Drosophila melanogaster: one gene and its partners. The protein of the gene in region 2 interacts with the protein of the main gene of each other region in a pairwise test. Each region holds a gene or a part of one and is shown on either strand. Other genes may lie near its edges. The genes, in order: CG3939, RpL35, CG2021 and CG11327.

The links.
Region 1: the proteins of RpL35 (region 2) and CG3939 interact in a two-hybrid assay, tested with the Drosophila melanogaster proteins (one large-scale study listed by BioGRID).
Region 3: the proteins of RpL35 (region 2) and CG2021 interact in a two-hybrid assay, tested with the Drosophila melanogaster proteins (one large-scale study listed by BioGRID).
Region 4: the proteins of RpL35 (region 2) and CG11327 interact in a two-hybrid assay, tested with the Drosophila melanogaster proteins (one large-scale study listed by BioGRID).

The regions. Positions count from the first base shown.
Region 1 is NC_004354.4:3,172,859-3,177,466, reverse strand, and holds CG3939 (uncharacterized protein), read right to left. Parts: upstream 2,450-4,608; 5' UTR 1,954-2,449; coding exon 1,809-1,953; intron 1,534-1,808; coding exon 1,271-1,533; 3' UTR 1,244-1,270; downstream 1-1,243. Other genes in the region: Fcp3C (follicle cell protein 3C), read left to right, coding at 3,073-3,124, 3,189-3,799, 3,872-4,057; CG18508 (uncharacterized protein), read left to right, coding at 4,488-4,608.
Region 2 is NC_004354.4:5,669,833-5,674,294, reverse strand, and holds RpL35 (ribosomal protein L35), read right to left. Parts: upstream 1,895-4,462; 5' UTR 1,776-1,894; coding exon 1,773-1,775; intron 1,562-1,772; exon of another isoform or gene 1,423-1,561; coding exon of another isoform or gene 1,420-1,422; intron 1,298-1,419; coding exon 1,161-1,297; intron 1,079-1,160; coding exon 847-1,078; 3' UTR 748-846; downstream 1-747. Other genes in the region: Tre1 (trapped in endoderm 1), read left to right, coding at 1-73, 122-329; Rab18, read left to right, coding at 2,634-2,692, 2,782-3,214, 3,279-3,380; CG4119 (uncharacterized protein), read right to left, coding at 4,149-4,244, 4,350-4,462.
Region 3 is NT_037436.4:1,776,019-1,779,538, forward strand, and holds CG2021 (uncharacterized protein), read right to left. Parts: upstream 1,394-3,520; 5' UTR 1,313-1,393; coding exon 1,025-1,312; 3' UTR 992-1,024; downstream 1-991. Other genes in the region: PolD2 (DNA polymerase delta subunit 2), read left to right, coding at 1-958; mRpL46 (mitochondrial ribosomal protein L46), read left to right, coding at 1,498-2,274; alpha-Spec (alpha spectrin), read right to left, coding at 3,164-3,292, 3,367-3,520.
Region 4 is NT_033779.5:6,684,069-6,689,291, forward strand, and holds CG11327 (uncharacterized protein), read right to left. Parts: upstream 2,645-5,223; 5' UTR 2,495-2,644; intron 2,432-2,494; 5' UTR 2,427-2,431; coding exon 999-2,426; 3' UTR 774-998; downstream 1-773. Other genes in the region: Tsp (thrombospondin), read right to left, coding at 2,857-2,927, 2,996-3,129, 3,186-4,669, 4,728-5,050.

The DNA of each region.
Region 1 (4,608 bases), 2.5 Mb from region 2:
GGAACGAAATTTGTAGCGCCTGTGAGGCGATAAAATCATATATTTTTGCAACCTTCAGCATTTTCCACGCTGTCTCCCTGTTCGATCGCTGCCAATTTAATTTAATTTATTTGTTTTTTACTTTCTCATTTATCCATTCGACGCGACTCGTTTGTTTGTTGCAATTTTGTTGTCATCTTCGCGTTTTTAATAATTTAGCACCATGCCGCCAAGTGGATCACGGTGCATGTTGCTGTCATCTGGCTACTGATTTATTTATTCATTGATTTTGTCAATGATTTAACGTAAAAGTTACCAAACAAATCGAACGAGAAGAAGCAACAGTCTTGCCACACAATTAATATGCAACGCGGCCGAAGCAACAGGGTTTTTGGCTAAGAAGTTACGGTAAATTGCGTTTGCCTGGTTTTGCATTGGCTAAATATTGAACGTATTACTTTTTAAAACATTTGATCAATTTATACATTTACCTTTAGTTTAGTTTTGATGTTACTTTACTTACGAAACCTTTTATTATTCTATTATTAAATATATATTTTTTTTTATTTTCAAACAGTTAAAGCAAAACGCAACAGGATTTACCGTTGCAAGCCCATTCTTAATTTATAACCATTCACTTTTAGGCAGGATCTATCATGTTTTTTTATCCATTGTTTATGTTCAGCATGTTTACAGTTAATCAGCTTGCAAAACTGTGCGGTCGTGTGCTTCAAATTCAATGATACTCTGCGCTTTTCCGCTATGTTTAGCTACATATATACATATCTTACTTTGCATTTACCTATGTATTTCTTGAGAACTGTTTCGGGTTTTGTGTTTTGTTAGGCTTTTTGATTCGAACACTTGCAAAAAATAAAACAAAACTTAAATCGCGGCATTAGCGCGTGCGAGCGAGATGGCGCGTTGGCACGCGTGTTTACCGTTGGACGCGTGTGCCGCTATTACCGTTATAGCCCCGTTTTCGATTCCTTTTTCAGCCGCGCTCTGCCAAACGATTCGTCCTGGTCGACGACATGCGTGCAAATAAACGAGTAAATGCCGAGCGACGCGCTGCCAGCCAGAAATGCTCCACTCATTCTGTTCTCCCCCATTTCTCCATTCCCCCCTTTTTTAGCACCACCCCTCCCAACGACAATTTCACTCGTTCTTTCCACCGAGTTGAGCGCAAAGCAGCAAAGAGAAAGAGAGCCGCAGCGAGAGAGAGAGAGAGAGAGTGATAGAGAGAGAGACTGAGAGTGGGAGTGAGTTTAAGCCAAAGCCAAATCGCGTTTTATTGGGCGACAAAATTGGACTTCTTCGGATCGGTCTCCTCGAAAAAGAGCTCCAGAAGACTCGACTTGAGCAGCTGATCCCCATCCAGGCGCTCCACGCCCTTCCAGCGTATAAGGGTCGGTATGCCTTCCACCGAGTATGGCGGCTTTCGGAACATGTTGTCCTTGCCTATCCAGGATTCCCGGCTACCCACGTCCACCACCAGGATCATGCAATCCGCCGGCGCGTGGTTGCGAAAGGCACTCATGATAGTTTCCTCGGCTGGAAAATATCAGCGATAATGGGATTAACTTAATGTATGTCACTTCTTTATGTTATGTTATAACTCTGCGATGAAATGAATCGAAATGATGAGGACAATGTACAATGTAGATGGAACTCTCAATGGAGAGCGAAAATCAAATCAAAAGTAACTCAAGTTAGCTGGGTAGAAAGTAACTAACTGAAACCCACAAATGAGAAGCGTGATAAGCAGAATGTAGAGTGCCCAACTGGACTAGTAACGCCCCGCTGGGCGAGGAGAATTCGTCACCTACCCGCCACGCAGTCCGGACACCAGCTGCGTCCGTCCTTGTCTTTCTCGCCGTAGAAGTAGATGTAGATGGGGCTGCGCTGGTTCTCGTACAGCTTGATCAGATTTTCCATCTCCTTGAAGCCCCGTGCCGGCACATATTCGGGCATTTTGGCAGTGTATGGGATTTCTGGATTAAAAAAAACTTGGACGTCTTGAACGGCGAGTTGGCTGGTGTACAAGTAAATTCCGATTGCGGCGATTTCGATGCGGATGGCAAACCCAAAATTTAATTCCAATCTTATCTGGATCTTATCGCTGGGTGTTACGGATCACTTAGCCGTTGCTTATCGGCCATCGGTAAGTTTATCGGGTAATTAATGGCGTATAATTTTGTTGTTTGCTGTGTTTTTCGATCTGTTTTGTTTTCTTTTTTTTTTTTTTTGCGGCAAGCTCCAGCAACTAGTATATTCACCACACTGCCTGTCCAGCGAACCCACCACAGCCGGCTGTGTGTGCGTGCTGTTGGGCGCACCGTGGTGAGTACGGCACTGTTAACCGTTTATCGAAACTCGAATTTTGTACTTAAATCATTTGAAGCAACGATAATTTTGACATTTTTATGGCATAAATCTATAGGATTGTTGAGTTTAACAAATAACAAACATTTAAAACTTCGTTCAAGATACATATCGATAATCTGTATTTATATTTCAAATGTTGGCCGCCCAATATTGATTGGTATTTCTGTTAAGTTCCATAAACAGCGCAAAAAATACTAACTTAACGAAAAACAAACCAAAAAATGAAAATTAAATTAAATCTATAATTAGATTAAAAACCAAAGCTTTGCTTATGTTGAAATGTTTGTTAATATTACCATATTATAACTTGTATAATTTGGATAATAATTGCTGTTTAATCGGCCGTTTATTTATGTTATCCATTATGTTATTATAATCATAACAGTTTCATTGCAGTTTGGCGGGATATTTAAAAAGATTTTGGAAAGTAGTTTAGAACGGTAAGGTAAACTTTGTGCAGCTCAAGACACAACTTTTGGGTTTATTGATTACGCATAATTTTCGGAAGTAATTCTTTTTCTTTCTTCTCACTTTCCTCCAAATGAATGAATTCCACTCGCTTTGTGTGAAAATTCTGCTTAATCAGACTTAACCCTGACACAATTTTGCCGGTTCTCACAACTTGAACTTCGTTGGGGGCCGACTAAAATGGAAGACCGAAATCTTGAAAAACTGCAAGCCAAGTAAGAAAATGGCTTATATAAAATGGATGGCGCAAAGGCAGAAGTATTCAGTGTTTCCGTAGATACCAAGATGGGTAAGCTTTGAAAGTAATATTAGCTAAAGAACACATTTCATATCGTATATATTTCATATATCAGGCGCCTTTAAAAATTCCCTGCTGCTGCTGACACTTCTGCTAGCCATCCATTTGGAGGCATCCAAGATAGTCTACAAGAAGCCGCTCTATGGCAATAGCAACATCATCAAGGACAAGCGTATAAAGACGAAGCCCGTCAAACTGGAAACCAGCACCATGAGCAGCACTGGTGTTGCAAGTAGCAGCACAACAGCCGAAGAGGATTGGCCCACGGCCGTTGAGTTTGTGATTATGACAACGCCCGCAAGCGAATTGGAAGCCAGCACGGAAACCATTGGTAACAATGGCACCACCGAAACGACCGTTGGCGAGGCACCCATCATCGGATCGTCGGAAGGATCCACACGATCGATGGAGCCAACCACCGCGAGTCCGCTGATGAGCACAAACCCATCGAGCAGCAGCAGTCTGGTTAGCACCATTCCCTTGCCACCGACAGCGGGACTGCCTGTGCAGGATAATCAGCCAGTGCCGTGCACATGCGGCGTCTTCCTCTCCTCGCAAATCCCAAATGGCTTGCCGACAAAGCCACTTATCCACCAGGAATTGGATCATATGTTTCCCTGCAATGCCATCGGTCGCAAGCAGTGTCAAACCAAATGCCTAGAGACGGTGAGTACTGGGGAAACGAGGAGGAAAAGATGAGGAGAAGCGCTCTATAACTCACCATTTCGTCCATTTTAGATCGTACAACATCTGCCGAATTCCGCAAATATAGTATGCTCCGCACTGGGTCACGATTGTCACAAGGAACGGGCCTATTTGTTCATCAAGAACTGTCACAATCAATGGGTTAATACCAATCTGCAGGCGGGCAGGGAGTACTGTTGTCGCTCTGGCGTTCCCTACCGTTGCCCATTGATGGGTTAAGCACTGTGCAAATGAAATAAATATATGATATGACAAAATTTCAACTGTATTGTAAATGCGCATGGTGTTAAAAAATCTAAAAAAAAAAGCAAAAAAAAAGCTAAGGTGTGCACATAAGGGTTAATAGATTTCAAACGGTTTGGTTCGAGTCCGGACTATATTAGTCCAACCGGTTGCGTTCTTTGCTAGAGAGTACGTATTTTTTTTTTTTAAGATAACAGTATATGCGTGGCGTTTTTAGGCTCAATACCAAACACAAGTGAACTGGCTACACTGACATTTTTGACAATAAATAAATAGTTGAATTAAGGAAATCAAAGCGAGAAATACTTTTTTTCCGGAGCCAGTAAGCTAACATTAAATAGGTACGTTCCGCAATTGTTGTAATCACTTGCAACGCCAATAACTAACCATTTTTAAAGCCCGAACAATGGTTTGCGTGCCCTGTATTATCATTCCACTGCTTCTGTACATTTGGCACAAATTTGTGCAGCCGATCCTGTTGCGCTACTGGAATCCCTGGGAGAAGAAGGACGACGATGGCAATGTGA
Region 2 (4,462 bases):
TCGCCTCCGTGATGGCCTGGGCTTCCAGTGTCATTAACCCGATCATCTATGCGGCCAGCAATCGCAACTACAGGTAAGTTTGCTGGCAGTTTTGGCTGCTATCGGGTTTAGCTGCTAATAGCGAATCTATCTTCTATTTCAGAGTGGCCTACTACAAGATCTTTGCGCTGCTCAAGTTCTGGGGCGAACCGTTGTCGCCGATGCCGAGTAGAAACTATCACCAAAGCAAGAACTCCAAGGAGCTGTCGGGCGTCATCCGCAGCACGCCGCTGTTTCACGCTGTGCAGAAGAATAGTATTAACCAAATGTGCCAAACATATTCAGTATGATCGAGCTCGCAGTCGAGAGCTTGTAATTCATATCAATTACCTACTTATTACTTGTTAGTTCATAATTATTTACGATGTATGGCCGTGCTTACATCAAAGACAATCGAATTAAATACATATACGTAGACCAATTGAGAATTCTGGTGTTTTTCAAGTTTGCATATTCAAAGAAGGCTGAATTAAAGATTGAACTTAAGATTTGCCATTACTTCTACAAGGCGCTAACTCAACGTTTTTGCTCTATAATGATCTTAAGGACCACAAGTAGTTAAGTAGATCCCATTGGATCCGACTAACATATGTAGAACAGGGAATGCGGCACTTGTTTTTTTGTTTTTTAACTAATTTCCATGAACCCATGGCCAAAGCCATGTGCCACTCGCGTTTTTTCGGTCACAAAATCAAACACGCATCGCTATTTTCACTTTAAAAAAAAGATTTTATTTAGTTTTTCTTCTTCATTGTACCGAAGAACCCTTAACGCGCACTATAGACAGTCGGAGTATCTGGATGCATTCTAGGCCTTGACGGCGAACTTCCTCTGGGGGAAGACGGAGCGCTTGCGGATCTCCTTGAGGGTCTTGCGGTTGGCGTCGCGCGGAGACAGGGCCTTGCGGATAGCGCGGGTCTTCTTCTTGCGCAGATCCAGGGGCTTGTACTTCTTGTTCTTGAAGACCTTGCGCAGATTCTCCTTCTGCTTCTGGTGCATCACAATGTAGACGCGAGCGATGGCCTTGCGGACAACGCGGCTGTATGGATAAGAACGCACATAAATGCACAAAACACCGGAATTAGTTCGTGACGCTTGTCGTTGTGCCGCGGCATACTCACATCTTGGAGAGCTTGGAGGGAGCTCCGCCGGTCACCTTGGCCACGCGCAGGCTGAGCAACTCATTCTTGAGCTCATCCAATTGCTTGGTGAGTTCCTTCTTGTCCTTGATCCTCAGCTCGGAGCACTTAACCTTCACCTGGACGGGAGCACAAACAAACGGGCAGAAAACAAGAACATTAGTATCGCTGCACTGCAAATGGCATGTTCATTGGCCCTTGGGCTGAGAGCATCGGGTGTCGATGGGTGTAACCAACCAACCATTTTTCTAGCTCTGCTCTTTAACACTCAGCACAGAACAAAAAAACCAACGAATTTTCCGTATTCACTAAACCAGCAAATTAAGAAATTCAGCACGTGGCTTAACGCAACCTCTCCGGAAACGCGGCGAAAAGAAAAGGAAAGAAGAAGAAGCAGAGGTGCTAGGGGTGAGCACAAAATAGTGTGCTAGCGTTGCGCGTCTCAACTAGCGTGGTACTGCATTATTAATCGCATTTTGTGTTAACACCATGAACGGCAGTAATTTGGGGCGCGTTTTAGCCATTACTTTGGCTTTTAATTGTTCGTTTCGTTGTAAAATAGGTTAGAAATCTTTTCGCTCACAAAATACCAACCATTTTTCTCGCTGGTCACGTCAAAAAAGAAAGATGGGACTTGGAGGAAAGAACTAGTTGGTGGTGGCACTATTGTAACTTCGAGCGTCGAACCAGTGGCAACGCTGATATCGAACCGGTTCCGAGTCCGTCATTAAAATAGATAAATCAAATTACTACGATTGCAAAAATATTCAATCACAATATTTACTTTTTTATTTTGCTAATGCCAATGAAAAGCTAAATAATACCATTTTAGAGAGCTATAAAATTAAGACATTACGCGTTTCGGAATTATTTTTCGAGGAAAATTATTTCTTATATAATTTAAACGTTTATATAAAATAATTATAACACCAACTATTTTGAGCGCAGAAGGAATCCTAAATTTATGATATTTTATAATTATTTTTTATAATTAATTTTTTTTTTTTAATTAATTTTTATACAACAATATAAGGAACGCACTGTTACCTATGTGGCAACAAAATTTGATCTGCTTAACGTGTTTTAGTTTTCATTGCGCGTTTATTATGGTAGTAACAACAGAATTATTTTTTTAAATATAGTTAGTCCTCCTAAGTCAAGACCCGATCGGTTTTGTTAAAAGGGTGGAATTAAATTATTTTAAGAAGCTAAATGTGTGTGCAAAAAAGTAGCCAGATTACGGCCACAGGTCACCACTAGATCGAAGTGGCGGTCTGGCAAGGCTGCTGTTACAGTGGTCCATCTCTATCGTGAGAATGTAAACAAAGCAGCAAGGTGGCAACGCCGCACTCACTTACTCCAGATAATCTACATAAATAATACAATTGGCAATATTCTTATCGTTTTAAGTAAATAACAGTAGTGATAAGCATTAAGCGGAGCTCAAACCACACAATGGCTGATCGGGCTATCAAGCTGCTGGTGATCGGGGAAAGCGGCGTGGGCAAGTCCAGGTGCAGTCCCAAGTCCATGGAGCAATTCCACTGCGTATATTACCAAAAGCTTGCATCACTCATCAACTTTCATTATCATTTCATCATAGTTTGATACGTCGCTTCGTGGAGAACAAGTTCGACCAGAACCATGACGTCACGATTGGCATGGACTTCAAGAGCAAAGTGATGCAGGTGGACGGCATAGACTACAAGGTGGCCCTGTGGGATACGGCGGGCGCCGAGAGATTCCGCAGCCTGACGCCCAGTTTCTATCGGAAGGCTCTGGGCGCCATTCTAGTGTACGACATCACCAGCAGGGACAGCCTGGTCAAGCTGGAAACCTGGCTGGCTGAACTGGATAGCTACAGCGACAATCCCAACATTGCCATCATTGTGGTAGGCAACAAGATCGACGAGGAGCGAGTTGTGGATCGCGAGGAGGGTCGAAAGTTTGCCAGGAAGCACAGGGCGCTCTTCATCGAGACCTCAGCCAAATGCGATCAGTTCGTCAGCGATGTGTTCAAAGATGTGGTGGAGAAGGTGAGCTAGCTACCAACCAAATACTTGGCATTCGTGTTTCCAATTATCCACATCCGCTTTGCAGATCGTCTCCTCCGAATACTTCAACAATGGCAATGCCTCCGCCGGTCTGGACATCGCCAGCGATCGGGATCTGGAGGCAAGCGCGTCTACGTGTTACTGTTGATTTCGAATGTTATGCGTGCTTTTGTCAAATTTATATCGTGTATTTATTTAATCGTTTCAATATCACTAGCATAAAGTCAATCAACCTTAACGTTCAATCGTGTACTCCAATCTGAGCAGGGCTATCGATTCACTTAGCTTGCAGGGTTTGCAGATCAGTCAGAATCCTTTTTAAATTCTATCCTTCTAATATTCCTGTACGGCTTATTGTCCATCTGCTTGCATTTCGTCTGCGACCAGTCAAAAGTCAAGTTCAGCATTTTCTTTTCATTATTTTATTGACATGATGATAGTTTTCCATTTGCGTTCACAAACGCAACAAATAAAGTGGAGAATTGGATTAGTGACCAACTGAAATGTACATGGGCTATGCGATTTTTTTTATTTCTATTGCATCTGGTGGTGTAAATTTATAAGTGAGTTCGGTTTATATTTACAATTATCGATGATTAATATTTATTAATTAACGCTAACAAGGTGGATTTAGAAATCAATGAAGCTGTTCTTCACGATTGGCTCGCTCGCTATTCATCAATTTCTTGTAAATCCCTTGCACGCGACGGATGCTTAGAAAACAAAGCTGGACATTTGGCCGCAACAATTCCCGGAGCACGCCCCTTATGTACATTTTTGTAATCGCATAGGTTCCGTAAGAGTAACTTAGAATCTAACTTCACGCTGTTGCTCCTCCATCGATACCTCGGATCCGCACCTGCTCCCGCCCAGTTCCCCAGTGATGCGCACGACGGGCATCTCTCCCATCTCCTTACTACTTCCCCGCAAGGCCGCTCTTCTTGGCGTCCAGTTCGTAAATGAGCAGACGCCACATCTTCACCACAAAGACCTCGGCTTCCTCGTCGAGTACCTGAAGATTTGAAACATTGAAACAGAGCGAGAGGGATAGAGTTTGGATTAGTTCATAGAATGGTAGTGGTTATCGTATCGTATCGTATCGCTTCAAACTACTCACCATTTGCACATCATCCAAGATGCTTTGAGGCGGGCTGCCGGCCAACACTTTGGAACATATAAAGTCCACTAGCGTCGGCTCCGGCTCACCGATATACTCGATGATTTTCTTAT
Region 3 (3,520 bases), on a different chromosome or scaffold from region 2:
TCTGGAGGATGAACTGCAGCGGGTTCGACTTCAGGGCAAGCTAAATGGACAGCTCTTAGCCACTGGAGTTGTGTGCGCTGCCCTCGGTGGAACAGACAGTGACGGATTTTTTAACGTGGAGGATATACTCTTCTACGAAAGTGGACCTCAGAAGCCACTGGCCCCCATTAAAAGAAGCCGCCTCCTGGTGCTGGCGTCTGGGTTGGACCAACTGCAGGCCCACAAATTTGTGGAGGCATTGAATCTCTTTCAGTACTGGCTGGCCGGCAGTCTTGGAAACAACAAGGAAGCGGGCTCCATGGTGCGTCTTATCGTGGCTGGAAACTCGGTGAGAGCCAGTGCCATGGCACATGTGCCCACCCTACAGGTGGCACGCACCCAGGCGAACGCAAATGACACAGTCCAGGCCGTTTCCCAGCTAGACCAGTGGTTTGCCTCATGGGCACGCAGTCTGCCCGTCGACATAATGCCGGGACCCTACGACCCGGCCAACTTTATGCTGCCCCAGCAGCCGTTCCACAAGTGCATGTTTCCCCAGGCTGCTCAACTGGCAACTTTCCAGGCGGTGACTAATCCGTACAGCTGCCGGCTGGATGAGGCCCTGGTGGTAGGCACATCTGGCCAGAATGTATCGGATCTGTTGCGCAGCACTTCGCTGGACTCGGCGCTGGAGGCCCTTCGCTGCACCCTCACCTGGGGACATGTTGCTCCCACTGCACCGGACACTCTAGCGTGCTACCCGTACATCGAAAGTGATCCCTTCATCCTGCGCGAGTGTCCGCACGTTTACTACGCCGGCAACTGCGAGTCGTTTGCGACCGAGCTGCACGAGGGTTCCGAAGGCAAGCGCACCCGCCTAGTCTGCGTGCCCAGTTTTAGCAAAACACAGAGTGTGGCCGTCGTTGACCTGGATACGCTGGATTGCCGCATGGTCAACTTTAGCGTAGATGCAGAATAAGAAACTTCATTAATACAAATAATACACCCTGTTAAGTCTTGAGAATCACTGGTTTTATTCGCTATCCTAGTGCACCACGGGACCCAGCGGCTCGCCCCTAATGTTGGCCAAATCCAGGCGGGAGTCGATGGTCTCGTCTATCAGTCCGATCACCGCGATGTTGTCCCCCCGGATGATGTGCAGTCCCAGCACGATTTGCTCGATGCCGGAGGTGGTAGAGAAGACGCGCTCATGGCACTCGTCTATGATGATATTGATGGTCTGGTCGAATCCCTTGAGTGTCCCGATGAAGTTCCGTCCGTCTGCCGTAATGATGGAGACTGTGTGATTGATATACGACTCCAGACCGGACATTTTAGCAGTCTTTCCTTGATAACTTCTCCAAACAGAACAAAATAAATACTAATTGTGGCAAGAGGCTAGCGACGCGCTCTCCGATAACGATAACTGTGCCGCAAATCAGCTGTTCCGGCTCTGGTGCTCATGTAATCGGTGGTCAACATTCTATTTTCCGAAAAAATTAAATTAAACTGATTAAAATGCTGCGTCGCATTGTCCAAGTGGGTGCCCGGGAGTTGAGCCGAGCCCAATCGTCAACCGCCAGCGCGGAAAAGTGGGACCTGTACGCCGGAGTGCTCGTAGAGCGTCTCCCTGTGGTGTCCAAGTCCCTTAATCCGCTGGAAAAACAGTTCCAAGACTTGCTATGGCGCGTGGAGTACGAAAACAGCCTGAAGTCTGACCATGAACTCAAGCATGAACGTGAGATCGTCCAGGCGGAGCTCATAAAGCAGGGCAAGATCCAGGTGGACTTGGAGGACGCAGGATCCAAGCAGACAGCTCAGGACCTCAAGGACGCCTACGTCGAGGAGCTAAAAAAGTTCCAGTTGGGCTCCCGCACCACGCCCGATGACCAGGCCAACAGAACCACCTCCACGGACCGCTGTCTGGATGACACGCTCTACCTTTTGGTACAGCAGAAGCTGGGCCAGCAGGAGCACCTCATTCTACCGCAGGGAAAGCGTGAGGAGGGAGAGTCCATGCGTCAGACTGCAGAAAGAGTGCTCCGCGAGAGTTGCGGCCAGGAGCTGCAGGTTCTTTTCTACGGCAACGCCCCAGTGGGCTTCCACAAATACAAGTATCCCAGAAACCAGCGGACGGAGACTGTCGGAGCCAAGGTCTTCTTCTACAGAGCATCCCTGCGGTCCGGCCAGGTGCCCGAAAATCTGACCAAGTTCGAGTGGCTTCCCAAGGAGGCGCTCAATGAAAAGCTGACCAATACAGCCTATGCCCAAAGCGTTAAAAAGTTCTTGTTGTAATCGTAATTGTTAAAATTGTTTTGATATCTAACAAATAAATAAAAATACTTCAGAGGAATATCTATCTACTAGCTGCCTTTCATTTGAGAAGAATCTGGTGAGATGCTGATACTTTTGCCAACTTCCTTCTGCAAAATCAGATTACAGACTCCCCTGAATTTTTAATAAAAACTCCACTCATTTAACATATTTAGACATGCAGCAATATATTTATTTTTGCAATTCACGAGTTGTAAATATACGTCCAATACAGAGGCAAATATTTATTGTTTTGTTTTTCTTTTTTTTTTCTGCTTTGAAAAAGCTTACTACTTTCGTTTCGAATACACGTAGAAACTGGAGGAAACATAAAAGGCTGGTTATTATGCATTTCTGGTAGCAAGAGTATCTTAAATCTTTTTGGTATATCAGTTGTATCTATGTTCGTTACAAGTTACAGACATTCAATATTGAAAATGTGTGCTCGATTACTGGAAGCTAAGCTTTTTATCTGCTTTTCAGGCGCAAGTTGATCAAATTACTGTGACAATGTTCTCGATTAGATATCTTCTTCGGCGACCGGACGCGTAGCCAATTCTCAAACTGAAACGTCAAAATTTAAGATACTTTCTCATTGGGCTGTTGATAAATAAATGCAAAAACTAGAAATGGTTCATAGTCATGTTGATAAATATGTATTGCAAGGTGCTATTGTTGATTTAAGGTTCATTGTGGCATAGGTTCTTAAATAAGCATTAAACTGTTTGACTTAGAGACTAAATTATCGAAAATAATGGTGTAAATATATATTTTTGTTTGATTTTTTTTTGTGTTTTGTTGGTTTTTAGAAATATACTTTAAATTGTAAGACATATGCTCAGGCGCCACTAAATAAGACAATGCAGGCTCTTTAGTTCTGGAACAGCGTTCGCGTGAAGTCTATGTAGTCCAGGGCATCCTTGATGGGCTGGCCGGAGCGCGGTTCCGAGAAGGGTTTCATGCGCTGCACGCAGTAGTCAGCCATGTCCTTGGTGAGGTTCTGTGGCAAGAAAGCAAAGATGTTAGTAGTGGCATGGGTTGAAACTTTCAGTAATCGAGGAATATTGAACTTACGCAGTAGAGCTCCTCCTTAGTTACATAGGGGCGGTCGGCAGCGGTGATGGCGCGGAAGGCATTCTCGATCTCCTCGTAGGATTGAACGTTCTCCGTCTCCTTGGAGATCATGAACGCGATGTATTCCTGCAGAGAGACGTAGCCATCGCGGTTG
Region 4 (5,223 bases), on a different chromosome or scaffold from region 2:
ACTTTCTTCAGTTTCTTCCTGCGCCTGCAGCCGAAATCGATTTTCGCGTTATGTTTCACGGGTTGGGGGGGTGGTGGTGGAGGTGATGGTGCTAGAAGCGCGGAGCAGGACGACCACGCTCAGGCGGCGCCAGGGGAGTGTGTGGACCTCCTTTCGCTTGGATATTGAATGTGCCGCACAGCCGTTACATAAAATTAAAGGGTCCAAAAAGAGCTTTCAAAATTTCACAGCAGCGCACTCCGCTAAAAAAACAGTTTGTTCGTTCATATGGAAACAACCGTATGCGACTGCAGTGTGACCGCACGCTAGCACGCGAAAAAATATTGCCTTTGAACAGGAGCGGTTCAGTAAAGATATTTGTATTCAATATAATAGTTATGTAAAACTAAAACTTGCAATAATCCCAAACTATTTTCCAAGTAAAAACTATTATTCCGGGAATTGCGTCAAATTAGCCTTTTCATTTATTAATTTTCTTTCCCGTCGTCTAGTACTAGTCCCGCCGACCAGTCTCTCCGTGTCCCACCGACATAGTTAGATCTGTAAGTTCGTATCATTGCTATTTTTCACGATTCCTCTATACATTCAAAAAAAAAAAAATAAATAAAAAATTCCCCATGTTTAGAATTCCGCCGTTCCTCCATCGGTAATTATTCCGGGAAAACAGTAAACGGGCAGGTGCAGTTTCCGGTTATCGATAACCGTTACCCTGCCCTAGCCAACAAGAGTATGACCTGACAAAGGCGCCACCTAGCGCTCGTTTCAAAAAGAATGTTAAGTAATTGGCGCTTTAATTCAAATATACATACAAATTATACAAATTACAAACAGTGCGGCCGTGATATTGTGGATATTTATTTGGAAAATAGATATTTAAAGCAACCCAACTATGCCAATGCGTCGGGCGATTTTGAAGTGTTTCCTAAGATATACCGTAGTGAAACGTATGCTCTCGCAAGTTCGCATTATCCAATTTGCATTTCTAGAATAGTGAACTTCTACTCCTTGCGAATTATATAGACCAAACTGAAAGCCAAGCTGCAGAACAATATGGGATAGCTAAGCTTAAGGATTCTGTGGTTGACTAGACGCCTCAAGAAACTCAAGGGCTTGCCAGTTTGTTTTAGGTCCGGATCCGTTTCCTCCTCCATATCGATTTCCGCCTCCGGGCCCGTCAGCGTCTCCCTTTCTTCCGCTTGCTCACTTTCTATCAAGTCTGGAGCTGTTTCAACTTCGCTATTCTCTTCTATTCTGGCCTGCAAAAGTTGGCGCATTAGGTGCACATTGTACTCCGGATCAAATAGTTCATCCAAAGTAACCATCTCGCGACCGTTTTGCACCGACCCATCTAGTGAGGGATGGTCGGCCAGTTCCGGGACCGAGTCAATGCACACAATCTCATCCGCCGTTGGATGAAACATGGGCTCCAATGTTTCAGGGTATTTCTCGAATTGTTCACGAACAAGCCTGTCCTCTTCGGACTCGCTACTTTCATTAATTAACGTTTCGAGTTCCTCCATATCCGATTCGGGTACAGATTTCTCGGATTCTACGTCTGTAGGATCTTGCGGGGTCTCTTGGACGATCTCTGTGTGTTCATCTATTGGCTCTTCGCCCAAATGCTGGACAATTTCGAATTCCTTTAAAGATTCTATTTCCACGGCAGTTTCCTTTATTTCTGGAAATTCCCCTTTCGGTGCAATTTCTTTTTCCACCATCTGTACATTTCCTGGTATAAGTTCTTCGGGTTGTGTTTCAGGAAGTGTTTCCTGCTGAATATCGTTTCCTGTCAGCTGTTCCATATCTAGTCCGGAAGACTCGGCACCATTCTCCACATCAGAGGCTTCATTTTGCAACTGTGTATCCACATCAGTGGCGTCATATTGCACCTGTGTATCCTGGTCAATATCATCGGGCAGTAGATTTTGCATATCTAAATTATTAAAAGCCACATCAGCCTCCATTTCGGCGACGACGCGTTGAAGTTCCTTGAGAGTCTGCTCCTCTGCCAGTCGGAGCTCCAACTCGCTGCTAGTGTCCGGAATCCTGTCGAGCATCGGCTGCAGCATTGGACTCGGTCTGGCCGACAGCGTAGTCTGCTGCTCGTCCGTGGAGCAATCCAAATTGATGCCAGAATCGTCGGCCATCTGTTGACTTTCCATGGAGGAGCGTCGCTTTCTCTCGGGCATCAGTGAACTGTAGATCCGGCTGCTGGCACTGGGTCCCAAGAAAAGTGGAGCCGGAATTTTAGTGGGCCTAACTCCCGAACTGCGAGGCCGCAGCTCACTCTCCGACGAAGATGGGACAACCGCGTCCACATCGTTTTCCATTGATTGACATTCTTCGGAGTTTTTCACATTCTTGTTGTTCTCAGTCCGCTTCAGCTCTTCCTGGGATGGAGTTGCTTGCACATTGCGGCTGGCCATCGTGGCTATTTGGACGCATAAATGAATGAGGTCAGCACAATTTGGTAGAGCACTGTGCTCCAACTTACCCTTTATAAATTTACGCAAGACTGACTGAATTTAACCTGGTTAACTAGTTCGACATCCGTGAAATATTATATCAATGTTTTCAACATGGGTTTTCCCTTATTTCGGTGATCAAAACGTTCCCTAGCGAAAGTGTGTTCGCCTAACTGTGGCAATTGAACTAAATGGATTGACAGGCAATGTCTCCTGATTTCACGTGCAGCCAGGCCAACTTGATTCAGTTCATTTTTGTGTTGGAAAACGCGGCTCCAATGGCCAACTGGATTGGCAACTCATTTATTAACTTAGTGGTAGCATTAATACATAATTTGGTTAGAATTGATGGCAGAAAAGACGTTAATGGCTCTGAGGATTGCGATTCCCCTCAGTCCTGCAACTCCACCTTCGTCTTGAGATAGTCGGACAGATCATTGTAGATCAGCGGCTTCACACGATCTGTTTTGAAAAGCATAGAAAAAAGTTTAGTTCAGTTGAAGTTACCACTTTGTTTCGATTTCCCTTACTATTGCACTTGTACTGCAGGTTGGACCATATAATCATCCTCTGTGAGAAGCAGAACACGCCCAGCCGACCGCCCTTCAGCGTGGAGTCAAACACATTGCCCGAGTCGAAGATCAGGCGGTTACCCTCGTGCATTCTGTGGGTAGAAGGAGAATGAAGACATGGGAACCCTGTCATGGTGCCATCACTCACTGCAGGCGGATGAGGCCGATGGCCGGTCGATGCACCAGGGACCAGCGGTAGGAGGTCCTTTCCTTCCACGCAATGTTCTTCGGATCCTTCCACAGCAGCCTGGCCTCACCGTCGGTGTTTCCCTCGTGCCACAGGCTGTTCCTCATCATTGGGCCCGGACCCTCGGTGCTGTTGACCAGCTTGATCTGGATGCCCGGCGCCGCAGAGGCGGTGAAGGGTCGTGGCTCCCAGTAGGTTTGGGTGCCCTTCTTCCACTGCACCACGTAGTACTTGTAGCTGCTCTGGTAGCTGAACACAAAGCCAGCGTAGTCATCGTCCGTGTCATCGTTGATATAAAAGGTGCCGTCGAAGTCAACGCCTCCGAAGGCGTCCTTGCCCACCGCTAGTCCCGGATCCGAATTGAGGGTCTGGACTATCTCGGTGCCATTGGCGTGTACCACCCAGTTGGGATCCGCTTGCGATAGGCCTTTGGGATCCAGTGGAATGGTTTGAAGAGTGCGAAAGTCAGTGTGATGAATCATCGAGTTGTTCGGGCAGTTGTCCATGCCATTCGGTACACCATCTACGTCCTCATCATCTTCGCAAGAGTCACCCTTGCCATTCCGATTGAAGTCGTCCTGCTTTGGGTTCTTGGCCAGCGGACAGTTGTCCTTGTAGTTGGGTATCCCATCTCCGTCCATGTCGTCATCGCACTCATCGCCCGTTCCATCACCGTCAGTGTCCAGCTGGTCCGAGTTACTGACCATTGGGCAGTTGTCCAGCGAGTTTGGAACTCCATCATCATCCCCGTCGATGTCTCTGTGACAGGCATCGCCTACAAAGTCCATGTCGCGATCCTTTTGGTCGGGATTCGGAAGATTCGGACAGTTATCGCAAGCGTCGCCCACACCATCGTTGTCCACGTCCGACTGACTGGGATTCGGCAGCAGCGGACAGTTGTCTAGCGCATTTGGTATGGAGTCGTTGTCGATATCACCATCGCACTCGTCTCCCAGTCCATCCTCGTCCGTGTCCAACTGCCTGGGATTGTACTTAAGCACGCAGTTGTCGCACACATCGCCCACCTTGTCTCCATCCGAGTCCAGCTGCTCGGTGTTGTAGGCCAGCCAGCAGTTGTCTTGGCTGTTCTGGACATTGTCGCCATCGGCATCGTCGTCGCACCCATCGCCATGTCCATCCAGATCGGCGTCCTCCTGGCCTGAATTAGGCAACTTCGGGCAGTTGTCTCGCTGACAGCGCAGCTCTGGACAACCGATTGCCTGATCTGGCCATCCATCTACGTCGGTATCCCTACCGCAAATCAAACCGTTGCCCGCCCATCCCACATTGCAGTGACACTTGTGGCGGATGTTATCCATCCTAAGGCACACGGCATTGCGGTCACAAACGGTTCCATCCGGACACATGAACACCGAGGATCTGTCTAGGCAGCTGTAGGTGCCATTTGTTACATATCCTTCGTGGCATTGGCATCTGTAGGAACCCTGCGAAAGAAATCTATTACTTTTAAACTATTTTTTTTTAAATTTGTATCGTACTCACAATCTCGTTGATGCAAGTAGAATGCTCCGGGCATCGGAAGAACCCAGTGCGGCACTCATCGACGTCCAGGCACGTTTGCCTGCGATAATCCACGGAGTAGTAGTCGGCGAAGTAGCCATGGGCGTGGGTGCCATCGAAGCCAACGGGACACGGGCTGCACTGGAAGCCAGGACTAAGATTGGTGCACGTCGCCAGCTCGTCGCAAGGATCGTAGAGCAGGCACTCATTCATATCCCGGCAGCTGGTTCCGTTCACCTCGTGGCCCATTGGACACGAGATGCAGTGAAAGTAGGGCGGATAGCCAACCTGGAGGCACTGGGCGCCTTCGTTAAGTTAAAAAGTAATTGCAAAAACGAATTAAGATGATTGCAATGCAATAAAACGAATGGAAACAGGTGAGTTATTCACGAAGCTGCCAACATGTTCACTCACATATGTATGAGTATCTTTATGAGCCATTTTCTTCAAAGAAAACTTTTTCTGTTTAAAAAACGGT